Tamandua tetradactyla: one gene and its partner. The protein of the gene in region 1 purifies or fractionates together with the protein of each later gene. This does not show direct contact. Links are inferred from orthologs where the notes say so. Each region holds a gene or a part of one and is shown on either strand. Other genes may lie near its edges.

Region 1 (7,618 bases):
CAATAACAACAAAGAAACCCACAGACTTCAAGAACTCTCCATTGTCCACAGGATTTTATCTCAACTTCTGTGACAGATACTCAAAACTCAGGTTGATACATTTACCCAAAAGTCCTACCCGGTACTCTGCTCTTTGTGTCAACCTGATCTCACCAGTGCTCTTGAATTGATCTTGGTCTTGCCCTCTGCCAAGTCCCACACAACCCATCCCTACTGCCTGAATCTGTCTCTCGTCCAGACCCAGTTGCTCTCTGAGTTGCCAGATCCTCATGTCCAACTACCTGACATTTCTAAAGATATTCCAAATAAACTAATCTGCCTCTCTACCAAACCATCTACTCCTCCTTGCCCTTATCTTATCTTAGTGAATGGCCAGGAAAAAAGTCTCATGTGTCTTTTCTCTGCCAGGCTCTATTTAATCCACTGTCCAGAGGTATCTCAAAACAGAAACCTGCTCAAAGCCAACTCATGGCTCCTCACTGTCTCAGGACCAAGCGCAAACTTCTCAGCATCATTTGCGAGGAGGACATTTCTGAGTGGTCTCCTGCTCATCCCATCCCAGGCCTCCAGCTCCTTGGAGGCTTGGGGTTTCCTCCAAGGGCCTGGATGACTTCTCTCCTGCCTCCAGGTTATACATACCATATGCTTCCCCCTTCTCTTCACCTGGCTATGTTCTTCAGACTCTTTGTTCCTTGTTTGTACCCTAGTATCTCTAAGGAAATGAACAGTCTTGTTGCTCTTACTGTAAACCCACAATCTGCCCTCAATGGATGTTTCATGCTCACTGGATGAAGAAATAATGAAGAAATGAAACAAAAGTGCAATGAGGCAGAACTAGGACCATTATAAGGAAGAGTCTGCAGATGAGGACCAGAACAGTGACTTGCCTGTGGATTCAGGTACAATTGATAACCGGGCAGGAAGGAACTGGGCTGCGAGCATCTTGCATCTTCGAACACATGAGTATGTGTGTGGACATAATCATGTTTTAGTGTGACCTCAGTTCTTTTTAGTTGACCACTTGAAGCCATCGAAAAGCCTTTTTTTTTTTTGCGGGGGGAGCAGTATTACTATTAGGGAGAGATACCCAAACTGGATATCCCAACTGGTGTAGTTGTTGGTGCTATGGGGTTCATTTCTGGGAAGCATGCCCCTCCTTGAATGCTTGTCCAGCACCGACTATTCCAGTTTGTATATTCCAGTTCTTATAAGCATGGCAGACATTCAACCGAAAACAGAAGCAGTGAGCTGAGTACTGAGCTAAGACTTGGAACCTTGAATGATGTAGGGCACAAGCTTCCTCTTCATTTCCTTTGTTGTTACTATTGCTGTATGATTTTCTTATTTATCTGGGCTAGCAGTGAACAATTTAGGTTTTCTTGGCTCAGCAACAAGCAAATTAGGAGAAATGAGGAATATGGAGTAGAGGATAGGCTAAGAATAGGAGGAGAGAATTGCTTTAATAAAATTATCAGCACAAAATTTTATCTGCAGGGCTGAGAAACAAAACGTCATGTATACACAGCTCTTTCCACTCAAGGAGTTATGGACCTACTGTAGGATTCTAACATGAAACATGTTAAGTCAAAAGCATTAATACTGGTCATTATCCCCTCACTCTAAGACACACCTTGATGTTGTCTGTGCAACTTCCTTGATTGGGAATTCATTATTCATGATTTTTCTGTCCTATTACAAATTTTCTATCTGCTTTGGAAGATGAAGGCAAGTACTCTCTTTATAGGCAGTACTTGTGTATATTTTGGCTTTCTTTACTGGAGCCAGGTTACTTTCCAAACTGTCTGAGATTCAGAGGCTATATTTTGTTCTCTTTTTGTTTCCTTAGACACATTTTCAGTTTCCTTGTTATCTTTGGATATATATCGTCAAATCATCTAGTTCATTAGTGTTCACTCTATTTCCAACATAGAATGATGCAAAAAAACAGAGGAGACTTTTAAAAACTGTGTGGTCAGCCAGGGGATTTTAAGCATTGCATGCTCTTGAAGCTAAGGGACAAGCTCTACTGCAACTACTGATAGTGTTGTTTTGATGTCATCTTAGGCATGGAATAAATTTCTCAAGTATTACAAAGATAATTAGGCAAAGAAAAAACACCCAGTTGCACCCATTTATGTGCCTGTGCCAGGGTATTTAATCTTGTCACACAATTCGTCTGTCAGCAATTATTAAAGGTCAGAGGTGAAAATGACTGATTACAGCAATTAGTCCAGTCTTTTATGCAAAACAGTCCTTGCAGCATTTTCTGCATAGTAATTTTAAGAGAGAGAGAGAGAGAGAAAGAAAAGACTTCACAGTGCATAGTTGTGAGCAGGGAGATTTATCATTAAGCAGAGATAATAAGTATTGCAAACCACACATAGCAACTGGGGCTTAGCTTTTACGTGTCTTGGTTGTCAACAGCCTTTACTTCTTTAATGGATCTGAAGAACGATAATTAGAATGCACGGGTGAGAAGGAGGAGCATAGGAATAGCAAACATGTTTCTGGAATCACATCAACCCTGGTGTGGACAATGGGGACACCTGGCTCCTTGTTGCCTGCACCCATAACTCTCTGCACCGGCTGTGACACAAAGTGCCTAGTGACATATCCAAGAGCATCACAAGTCCGAGGCTGTATCCAGTGCTAAACAAAGGGCAAATTACACAATGAAGCATCGTTTATCTTGCAAAAGCTCTTGCGTCAGGGTCAAATGGGAGCACCAACCCCTGGCAAAAGCACCCAAGCTTCTTTCCATTGGCTTGATGAAAGGGATCCTTCCCAAAGGCGAGGCTGGAATGCCAGAGACCCCACACTCCCTCCTCACTAGTGCAGCATTCAGGGCCCTCAGCAGCTGCAAATATACATAATGAACTGTCCTTTCTTAGGCTGGCCCCTCCACCTGCAGCGCCATGCCTTCCTTATGCTGCTCTCCCAACAGAAATCATTGCCTCCACCCCCTCTTCATTTCCCTTAAAATTCAGGGCAGATGTTATTAATTCTCAAAAGTCTACAATGGATTCCTCCACTCCTTCCCTAATTTGGGCTGCACAAATTTAAGCAAGGACTCTCCTAGCACCTAGAGATGATTTTTTTTGCACATTTATCACTGCTGTATTTGGACTGTGAGTTTCCTGAGAGTGGAAGCCATCACTACAGAGCTTAGCAAAGCATTCCGTATGCAGGTGGCACACAATAAACCTCTGAATGAGTTCTGACAGTATGCTCCCTTGAGGTATAACATACAAGGAGCAAAGGGCACACACCTCAAACACATAGATCAACACATTTTTACACATGTATACACAACCCAGACCAGCACATACAACATTTTCCCAAAGAGCTCCCTGGAGACAAAGGGATTTGGTGGCTCTAGGAATGAGTCCCATGCATGCCAGGAAAGCAGGTTCCCAGAGTGGACTGGAGAGAATATAAGATATCATGATTCATCCTCGGGAAGAACTCTCAGGATTGGGGCGGGGTGTGTGGGGTGGGGTGGGGGTGGGGGAAGTGGGGCAGTAGTATTTCATTCTAGAGAAAAGCAAGAACTGGCATATTAGAGAATAGATCAATGCTGAAAGTTCAAATAGTGAAAACTGAGCATAATTAATAATTGGCCTTCCTTTTCCCCTGGGCTCATTCAGAAGCCCCAAATCCAAAGAGGCCGGGTACTGGTGAGGTCTCAGGAACCCTTTCACCACTGCCTCCTTATCCCAGCTCTGAAGCCTGCTTGTGACACCGAGACCCGACTGACACTCAAGTAACCGCAGTCGAGCCTCGCCAAGCCTGCGGGACGTGTAAAGCGGGACCCCTTGCTTCTCAGCCCCCAGTCCCTTGCACCTCGTACAAACCAACGGGCTTTTTTTGAACCAGCTCGCTATACCCACAAGGAAACAGGCGAGAGAGGAAACGCCTTCCCCCATCGCTGAGGGTTTGCGTTTCCTCCCTTGTAAAATGAGACGGTCAGACCCTCCCTTCACCAACCGCAAATGTTTTGTTTTGTTTTGGTTTGGTTTCCTGCTTTTTCAACCCAACACCTCTAACCACGTTATTCCCAGGGTGCCATAGACCCCTGCCTATGCCTATGCCTGTGCAGACTGTGTACCGCCAGGGCCCGGGGGTTCGGCGGGGGCTGAAATCCACCGCAGGGGGCCCGCGTAACGCCCTGCAAGGTGGCAGGGTGAGCGAGCGGTGGCCCCGACTGGGAAAAAAACAAAAAAAAAGGAGATGTCCAATTGATTTTGCCGGTAGCCCTGGCTCCATTTGAGAGAAGCAACCGCGCAGCGGCATCGCCACCAGTTCACTCCCCCCGCCCCACACCCCTCAACCCCGCAGCTGGGAGGAAAGGGGGGTCATTTCCTTGCGTCTCTGGCGAGGTGGCCGAGCGCCCCGGAACCCCGCCGGCCGCGGCCCCCAGCGCGCAGGGGATGCCAGCCAGCCCGCGGCCCCGCCCCTGCGCGAACTTGGCCGCACCCATCTCCCCCGGGCGGCGCCCCAGCCGCGGCCGGCGCTGACGTCACAAGGCACCCAGCGGCTCGCGGCCCGCGGTGCGCGCCCAGCGCCGGGACCCGCCGCCGCCCGCTCGGCGCCGACACCCAGGCGTGCCCCGCGCGTCCGCGTCCCCGCCCGGCCGCGAAGATGGCGAGCGTGGCGCCCCGGGAGCACGCCGAGGAAGGATGCCCGGCTCCCGCTGCCGAAGAGCAGGCGCAGCGGCCCCCGCCGCCCCCGGCTGCCTTCCAGGAGGAGCGGGAGGCGGCGGCCCCGCAGCAGGAGGAGGCGGCGGCGGGCGCGGGCCGGCAGGTGGAGGAGGCCGCGGGCCGGGTGGCCGCCGCCGCGACCTGGCTGCTCGGGGAGCCCGTGTTGTGGCTGGGCGGCCGCGCCGACGAGCTCCTGAGCTGGAAGAGGCCGCTGCGCAGCCTGCTCGCCTTCGTGGGTGCCAACCTGCTGTTTTGGTGAGAGCCTGGGCTGGGTGGGGGCTCCCGGGGTGTGGAGATGGGGGGCATTTGGGGCGCCCAGGGGTGGCAGAGGGCAGACCGGCCGGCCGGCGTGGGGTGTGCACGCTGCAGAGAGAGCGGTGTCAGCCCTGGCCCACCTTCTCGGCCACCTGTCTCGAGCAGAAAGACCCACACCTCAACTTTCCTCTCAACGCGTTTCCCCGTCTCCGGTCGCACCCCTGTCCACCCGCGCGTGCGTCCAGCCTCGGCGGCCAGGTGGTCCGCTGACTCCTGCGCACCTGTAGCCCCATAGGTGTGGCCACCGTGCTCGGAAACTTCAGTCTTTGCTTTCTAAAACTCTCAAGTCTTGACCTGGTCGGCTCAAGCATGCCAGAGCTAGTGGGCTTGAACTTGGCATTTGTCCCTGCACTCCAGCAGACATAGCTGGACCAACTTAGGTACACGTTCAAGACTCTGCCACCTTCATAAACCACCTGGGATGGGCGCTAAATGGTTTGTTTTCCCTTTCCCTGGAGGGTTTACTGTCTTAACTCCCTGGCAGGAAAACCAGGAGGCAAACAAACAGGTGGATTATGTACCTCACCCCATCCGCCCCGCCCCCCTCGGACTGCGCAGTGTAGAAAATAGCATGAAGGGCAGAGAGAAAACATAGGAATTATTCTCATAAAAGCCCGTGATCAACAGGTTTGGCTCTCCAAAAAGTGCCCTTCACCCAGACGGGCATGGGAAGCATCTGGCTCCTTCGCTGAAGGGCATATGCGCTGTCATCTGTTCTCAGTCTGAACTGAGGGCAGAGAAAAAGCCTTCTTTGTTTGCTCAAGGGTCCTGTAACGAACCTGACCCAGGCAGTGCAGAAGAGGCTGAACCCCGGTATACCTTGTCAGAGGATGTGGATTTCACCTTCCAGTTGGAAAATAAATCAACGCCTGGAACAGAACACACCTGCCATTTTTATTAGGTCAACTTGAAAAACAGGAAGATTTTTCTGGAGAGTCTGTGCTAGTCCTGGTTTTCTCTTTAAAATGAGCTGCATCTTGTCAGGGTCCCTGAATGTAAATGAACTTTTCTTTGTGTTTAGCCATCTGTGTTTTTAGAGTTTACACCCGATTTCTTCATATACCCAGTTATGAAGTTACATGAGTACTCAAAGGAGAGCAATACATGATATTAGGCTGGATTGGGCATTATTCTTAGGGATAGAAAGAACCTTATCATATTATCACAATCATTTTACTAATAAGGGCCGTGGTTTTAAATTTATTTTTCTTGATTTTAAATTTTATTTTTTAAAATAGCTAATACAGACTCAGTTCAAAAGTTTAAAGATACAAAAGGATACATATTTTGAAAATCTCTTTCTCACGCCTGTTCTTGGCTACGCAGTGTTCCAGTGTTACCCAGTCTCTTCTGTATCTTTCCAGGTAGTATTAACTATCCACGTAATATTAACGCATAGTTCAGCAATTACACAGTATTTGCCATAAATTCTGGAATACTACATGGGCTGCCCTCTTCATGGTTTTCTTGGCAATTGCTTCTTTGTTCTTTTTTCAACAGCATAGAATTTAGTTGTAAGGATGTCTCAAATTGTTAAACTGTCCCCAATGATGGGTTGTTTTCAAACTTTTGATATTTCAGTGTTATGGCTAATAACCTTATACACACTTCATTTTTGCATATATGAAAGTATTTCTGTAGAATAAAATCTTAGAAGTGAAATTAGAGGGTATATGTACTTATAATTTTGAAGGATATTAATTTATACTCCCACCTCCAATGGTTGTGACTGCTTATTTTCCTACATCTTTGCTGACAGCATTTGTCAGACTTTGATCTTGCAAATCTGATAGGTGAAACAGGGCATCCCAATGTGGTTTAAATGTGCATTTCTCTGTGAGTTTGAGCATCTTTTCTTATATTCAAAAGCCATTTTAATTATCTTTTCTCCACATTGTTTGTAAATATGTTTTTTAATTGAGCCATTGGTCTTTTTCTTACCAATTGTAAGATTGATTTGTAGGAGCTTTTTCATATTAAAGATTTAGCCTAATTTCTGTGATATGAGCTGCAAGTGTTCTTTCTATGGCCTATTAGTAATATCTACTGAAAATAGTGTTTTTTCATAAGACAATTGAAAGGCATATGTGTTATTTTTCAGGAGTGATGTTTGCCATGTACTGTATTTATAACTCCTATGGAGAATAATTCTGATGGAGAGGCAAACAATGGCCAAGTATTCAGCCTCCTTCTAGCTTTCTGCTTATCTGTTATTTCTTCTCCTGCAGTATCTACATTCCACGCATTTATTTTCCTTAACAGAATGATAACATCCTGCTCTTTGAATTCTGAAATACTTGTTACTGCTTTTGTACTTTGTGCTATAATCCATTGGAATTTCTGACCCATTTATTAACTTTGATTCAATTTTTGGAGTGTTTTTCATTCTCTTTTTGTTGCTTCCAGGGTTAGAACACTTTTCAAGGACGTTCAGTTTTCTTTAAATAGTATGTTTCTTAATCTTTGATCTTATATTATGTGACCCTCTAACATTATGTGTCCCAGGAATTCTGAAGCACTATATTTTCCATGAGAAAACAAAAGATTAATATTTTAAATATGCGGGACCCAAATCTTGTCTTCAGCACTAGTGATGCTGTTTT
Region 2 (7,054 bases), on another chromosome or scaffold:
GGATGAAAGCTCATCAAGATTCAAATAATGGATGAGTAATCACAACCTTTTGAATGGCTACTATGCATCTGGTATATTACCTAATTTAATTCTGCAAACTCTGTTCCCCGAGCTTCAAGGAAGTAATATAACCTGCCCAGAGCTGAGTGACTGGGCTACGTTCTAAAGTCAATTTCCTCACCTCAAACACCAAACTGAAAAACCCTTTTATTTTTCAATTTAATTTTTTTCATTTTTTTATTAATTAAAAAATTAACAACAAACAAAACATTAAGATATCATTCCATTCTACAAATATAATCAATAATTCTTAATATCATCACATAGTTGCATATTCATCATTTCTTAGAACATTTGCATCAATTTAGAAAAAGAAATAAAAAGACAGAAAAAGAAATAAAATGGTAACAGAAAAAAAAGATTATACATACCATACCCCTTACCCCTCACTTTCATTTACCACTAGCATTTCAAACTAAATTTATTTTAACATTTGTTCCTTCTATTATTTATTTTTATTCCATATGTTCTACTCTTCTGCTGATATGCTAGATAAAAGGAACATCAGACACAAGGTTTTCACAATCACAGTCACATTGTGAAAGCTATATCATTGTTCAATCATCATCAAGAAACATGGCTACTGGAACCAGCTCTACATTTTCAGGCAGTTCCCTCCAGCCTCTCCACTACATCTTGAACAACAAGGTGGTATCTACTTAATGCGTAAGAATAACCTCCAGGATAACCTCTGGACTCTGCTTGGAATCTCTCAGCCATTGATACTTAGTCTCATTTCATTCTTCCCCCTTTTGGCCGAGAAGGTTCTCTCAATCCCTTGATGTTAATTCTCAGCTCATTCTAGGGTTTTTCTCAGTCAATTTAATTTTTATTCTTTTTAATCAAATGTGTGATTTTATAAAGTTAAGTAGCTCTATATGGCTTGTGAAGAAAAATAGCACTTTCTCACCACACACACATATTTTCTGCCCCCTACTTTTTAGCTGATTTATTTAATGGACACTTCTACAGATTCTATGCATATGTTTCAATTCTAGATTTTTATTTTCAGTTATTTGGGGCATAAACTATTGACATTCCATTGTTAAAAGTTGAGAATTCAGCCTTTTAATTTTTTTTTATCACCACCACCTCACCTTTGTTACCATCAAACTTCTGAGCATTTCTTGTTCCCCTTTTCCAGCTTCTAAATATAGTTACATCATAATTTTGATTATATTAGTATTATGGGAAGCAGGAAAGAGGGCACTAACAAGAGTTTGAAATAAGGCTTTATGGCTTAAAAGAATGGCTCTGCCCCATATTATCTTTCCAATCTTGATTTAGTCTGTGCCTCAATTTTCTCATCTGTAAAATGAGTACATCTATCTCATATTATTGAGGATTATGGGCGCTAACACATACGTATGTAAAGCATGTAGTATTTAATAAGTGGTAACCATTTTTATCTTGTTGATTACCTTGACCTATCTTCTGTTAAATCCTGTTTCATATACCTTGTGTCTTCTCCTTGTTTTTTTCCCTCATTTTGGACATGCTTACTGAAAATATGCACACAAGAAGTAAATTTTAGGAGAGCTTGCAAGGCTAAAAATGCATTATGCTACTCTCACACTTAAATGATAATATATCTTGGTATGAAATTCTAGGCTGGAATTCATTTTCCTTAGAATTCTGAAGGTATAGCAAGCTTTAACCCTGCTTTCTTTGCTCTATCTTGTCTTTATTTGGCCTTCTCAAATGTATTTCTGTGTTTCTGTTTCTTGTGTAACTAATTTTCTATTTGTGTCTGTCTGCCTGTTCATTGCATTATTTTATAACTTGAAATGTAAAAAAAAAGTAACAAAACTTTTTTTTTAAGAAAGCTCTACTGGAAATGCTTAAGAAATAAGTAGTTTTTAAACATATTTTATATAAATCAATACTCTTCTGAAGTAGAAAGAAAAAAACAGTAAATAAGGAGAAAAAATTCTCTGAACTGCAAAATTCAAAATCTTAGTTTTGTAATTACTATAAGCAAACCTGGCCATCTGAAAGAAACCGCCCTTGGAATTTCCCTAAGGCCCCAGAAAATTGCCAAAGGGCTGCCTCTAGGAAAAAAAGCAAAGACCTTTTCCAATTGTTCTGAAGCACCCCCTCCCCCCCCAAAAGGGAATATCTATGTAACCATTCAGTAGTCAAAATCATTCCTTAAATCCTAAATTTTTAATTACAGGGCTCCAATTCATTTTCCTTGTTTCTATGATAAAATTTAGTTTTGTTTGTTTTTTAAAATCAGAGACATTGGAACCCTGATAACAGAATATAGATGATAAAGCCATCAAAAGCAGTGAGTTCTCTGCCCCAAGCACTCAAATGACCAAGTCCTGAGTTTCAAAGAGAGGGTTTATTGCTAGGCAGGAAGCAGGAGATCAGATGGGCTGGGGGCCTAAAAACTTGGTCTCCCTGAGCTGCAGTAATTCTGATCGTTTTATAGTGTCAAATGATGAGCTGGTTTTAAGATAATGAGCACGTGACTGGAGATGATCTAGTTATAGAGCATGCACAGATTGCTTACATGCTTAGTCACAGAATTTATGTAAGAAAATGGCTGCCTTAATACGTTGATGGGTGTGATTTTTAGTATTCTGAGGTATAGGCTGCTTAGATTCAGCTCTATTTATCAAGACAGCCTTGGAATTGGGCGGGTTAGTTCCACTGATAAACATTAGGGGCTATCTTTAGTGATCATAAGGCTCTAAAGTTGAAACACAGGATAAGGGTGTATAAGGGAAGGTCAGTCACAAGGTTTTTAGTCATAAAATAAATCGTTATCAGAAATTAAGGCAATTGGATTACAGTTCAGAGATTTCAGGTATTTCCCTTTGTCTATTCTAATACACTAGCAAGTAAAAAGGAATATCTATATAATGATTCAGTAATCAGTCATGCTCTCACCTTAACTTCTTCCTTACACTGCCGTTGTAAATAACTTTAAAAATATAACTCATTAGACTCTTTCAGAGAAAAGCATACTTTCCTCACTCCTTATCTTTTGCAAGTACCACCGCCTTCCTCCACCCCCCCACCGGTGCGACGGATCCCAGGAATAGCCGCCTTCACTAGCAGGTGGAAAAGTCTTAGGCCTTTGGTTCTCCCTCTGGAGACGCCACTCGCATCTGCCTCACAGCCCAGTCTTCCACCATCCTTCCTCCTGTCTCATCCTATTCCCCTGAAACACAAATAACCCGTACTATCCTTTAAATGAATTTTCGCAGAAGGAAAAAAGAAATGTTCGAGAGCCACTAAACGAATAATTTAAATTGGCTGAAATTTTCTTTTCTTGAAGCCGGGCCCAATTCTGGGTTGTAAGAGAAAGTGCATCACTTTTGTATTGGGGCATGCGTGCAGCCCTTAGTAGTTATTGCCGGCATCACCTCTTCCCTGGATTTAGGTTGTACTTCATGCCCTTCATCTTACACATCTCAAATTCCTGAGTCACGCTCTGTTTCTGTCGCCACTCTAGGAGCAAGTTGTGGCATTCATCCAATCAAAACTGAAGCGAACCTGAGGGAGGAGAGGCCCTGGTGGGAGGAAGCCAACCTAGCACGCAGGCAGGTCCAATTAAATGGGCAAAGGGCAAAAGGCAAACCCGGGACACATCTGCACTGGCCAATGGGATGCCAGGCCCTCCCTCCCTCTTTTTCCTGACTCCAGCTCGCTGGAAAAGGCTGGATTTTAGCCCTTTCTATTCGTTTTGGGGCCCTACCAAGAGGCAGCGGGGGGAAGGGAAGAAGTCATCTTTAGAACACACTTTTCGTTTCGTCTTAAAACGACGGTCAGTATGAGAGTCACAATAAAACAATAAGAAAAACTGTCTTAGCTACGCTATGTAATCCAGATAGGAAAAATTTAGATGGAAAAAAATACACTAAAACAGACAATTCTTATGTCCACCCCTATTCCTGGAGGTCCGGGACGCTGGGGCGGGGTGAGAGGCGGGACTTCGTGACGTCGCAATACCGACGCGCCGCAGAGTTGTTTTGCGTCCCGTGCCCTTCGGGAAAGCCGCCGGGATTTCTGTTCTGGCGGTCCCCTAGCTCCAGGCGAAGGGAGCATAGATCCCTTCCGATCGCTCTGCCAAGTGTTGCGGCGGGAGCTGGCGTCTCCGAAGCGATCCTGATTTATAGTGAAATTTGGCACAGGGAAACGATTCTCGAGAGACGCGACCATCAGCCAGGGAGGCAGGGCCCGAGCGGGGATCTCAGAAACCCTGCGGTCCATCATGAAGTTCCAGTATAAGGAGGACCATCCCTTCGAGTATCGGAAAAAGGAAGGCGAAAAGATCCGGAAGAAATATCCGGACAGGGTCCCAGTGAGTGTCATGGGAGCGGGGGGGAGGGGACTGGGAAGCTCCCGGGGCGAGCGTGGCTGTGGTGAAGCGTCGCTGCCCCAGGCCGAGGAGGGAGACGCGAGGTCCCTGTAAATCACTAACCCTCGACGCCGTTCGCTGGTCTCGGAGCCAGTGGACACTCAGACTGCCGACCTTTTAAAACCTATATCCCCAGGGCCCGTTTCCATCTTTACAGCTGATCGCATCTTTGGAGCCGAGCCTACGTCTCGAGTGACTCAGCATTATTCAGATACGAAGGCCGACATGTGCACAAAATATGGTCCTGTATGCGAGAGTGATTAGGTTGGGGCCCTTGATTTCCAGCCTTTAGAAGCGCAGGGATATTGTTACGGGAGCAGCGAAGTTGGCTTTAACCTTCGTTTTATCCGGCTTGGGAAGGAAAGAATGGGAAGCCAGTGGATTCTTTCTTGTGTTTTATCATTAGGAAAGGGGGCGGTAAGGGGAGCGCACCACCAGGCGGACGTGGCGGGGAAAACAAGGTCACGTTCTCTGCGCAGCAGCCCTCTTGCTTCATTATTCTTGGCTCCAGGGGCTTGTGTGGGGAAAGGCCAGCCTTCCCTCCGCTACTTAATTCTGATCAGACTGTACCTGGACACAACAAAGCGGGACCGAAGCCTCTTTTTCTCTGTTGCGGAACCTGGCATGTGGAGTTAAAAGTAATGCGATCGGTGAGGAGGAAGAGAAATACTAAGGCATCCCTCAGCATCCGGGTGTTTTTCCCGTTTCCCCCCTCCCCCGCCCACTTGCCTGTTTTTTTTTTCTCGAATACAGGCTGCGCAGCCGGAATGGAAGGAGGAAGAAGAGTGGTAGATTTTGGAGATGGAGGAGCAGCGACCTTAAGGTTGTGCTCTTTACCTGCCACCTTCAGGCAGGGACAGTGGGAGACGTTTTACATGTAATGTATAAGTAAAGGAATTGCAATTATCTGATGTCCTTTCTTGACCTGCATGTTCTCCTTAAACCTAGTCTACAGTCCTAACCTCAATTTCATTGTTTTACAGTTACCAGAGGTGAGTTGGGCCTTAGCTAGCCCAACAGTAGAAACCCCTGGTAGTCCTTTTCCTATCAGGAAGAGGCGCCCTTAAGGCCTTTCCATTCCCAGAAATTGGGTGCTACTGAGTAATAACTCAGGAAAGAGTCCTTCACAAATCACTTTCCTGCTGTCTGGACCTTGGGGGGACTGTTTTAAAAGCTTCTCCTAATTCTAATCTCCGTCTTTGATAGAAGTATTAAAAAATGACAGTTCACCTTTATTGATGGCTTATCTCTTACCCGGCTGTCTTCTAAGTGCTCTCTATATTCAGTTAGTCCTCACAGTGGTATAACCACCATTCTACAGATCAATCAGAGAAATGAAGTAACTTAGGAAGCTTGCAAATTGCTGGTCTGTTACTGGTCAGGATTCCATTCCAATTGTTTCTCAATTTCTAATACAGTTCTGTTAACTAGAATTAAGTGCACACTGTGTGTCTCACATTGTACCTTCCAGAGCTCACAAGGTAGTATGGTGCTGGTAAAGTAAGCCGGTAAACAGAATGCCAATTTTTCAGGGGTCACTAAATACGAGGCTCTATGCCAATAGTTTTGCCTAAGTTACAAACTCTAAAATGTACCTTTTCCTAAAGCTAGTTAAAATCCCCCTATAATTTTTCAAAATTAAGCCCTCCCCATTTCAATCATCTACCCCTCATGTTTCATATGATCACCTGTTCTTATTCTGTAAATGTTTTACTTTGTGATAATAAATAAGTCACCATGGACCTGGCTCAGCTCTCTGGCTTCTTCTAGTTATGTTTTAACCGGTGCCAGACCTCTACCGCTTGTTACCGGTTCAGTGGATGGCCCTCTTTCCTGCAGTTGTGACGCAGGGAGAAGAGCTATATGCTTTCTTAATACTGTGATTTGGGTTGTAGTTCTGGCTTTACAGGAATTCCCTGTATTCTCAGTCAACACCCTAAATCTCACTGTGCTCAAGTGACCCTATTTATGGGAAAGTAGGGTTCCAGTAAATGATTTCTAAAGCCCTTCCCAGCTGGACCATAGGTGTTACTCGAGTAATCTCATTCCCTGGCTGCTCGCATAACCTGGATTTAGACCCGGTCACTATCTTTTTATAGCTACCATTGAGAAGAATAGGTGTGCTTATACCTTGGAAGGAAGGAGCTCATGGGATCTTGAAATTGCCTTTATAGCTACAGTGTATTGCAAACCTGTGACAACAGGAAACTAAGAGCCTGCAGAATGTGTCTTTTTTTAATTTGTTAACAACCCAATGGAATATTAGCTATCTTTAATAGATGAGGCTAAAGAAGCAAAGCTTCTAAGCCTGAGGGTCCACTGTAAGTGAGAAATAAGTTGGGATTCCTGCAAACCTAAACTCTTTTACTCTAAATCAAGGCCTTAATGATTTCCTGCCCTGCCTTTGCAGGCTGCTCTATTTTTTTGCCTTCCTTCCTTTGTGGTCACCTCTTATTGATAGGAGCTCAAGAGTTTGGGGGAGACACAATACCAGTCTCGCTGTCCCCCTTTGATTTTATTAACTCTGCTGTCTTATGTCCATCTCATTTGTTGGCCTTTCACTGATCTCTCCATGAAGCTGTTCCTACTTTTTCCTTTTAATTTTGGACTCACAACATTCTC

What was found. The genes of interacting proteins can lie anywhere in the genome.
Region 2: the proteins of RETREG1 (region 1) and GABARAPL1 purify together in Homo sapiens (affinity purification with western blotting; 3 studies listed by BioGRID and IntAct, with this or other methods). This does not show direct contact. The link is inferred for Tamandua tetradactyla from reciprocal best matches to the Homo sapiens genes RETREG1 and GABARAPL1.

What each region holds. Positions count from the first base shown.
Region 1 is NC_135335.1:65,782,332-65,789,949, reverse strand, and holds the start of RETREG1 (reticulophagy regulator 1), read left to right. Parts: upstream 1-4,596; 5' UTR 4,597-4,641; coding exon 4,642-4,955; intron 4,956-7,618. UniProt on the Homo sapiens protein: Endoplasmic reticulum (ER)-anchored autophagy regulator which mediates ER delivery into lysosomes through sequestration into autophagosomes.
Region 2 is NC_135333.1:72,652,999-72,660,052, forward strand, and holds the start of GABARAPL1 (gamma-aminobutyric acid receptor-associated protein-like 1), read left to right. Parts: upstream 1-4,019; 5' UTR 4,020-4,285; coding exon 4,286-4,375; intron 4,376-7,054. UniProt on the Homo sapiens protein: Ubiquitin-like modifier that increases cell-surface expression of kappa-type opioid receptor through facilitating anterograde intracellular trafficking of the receptor. Involved in formation of autophagosomal vacuoles.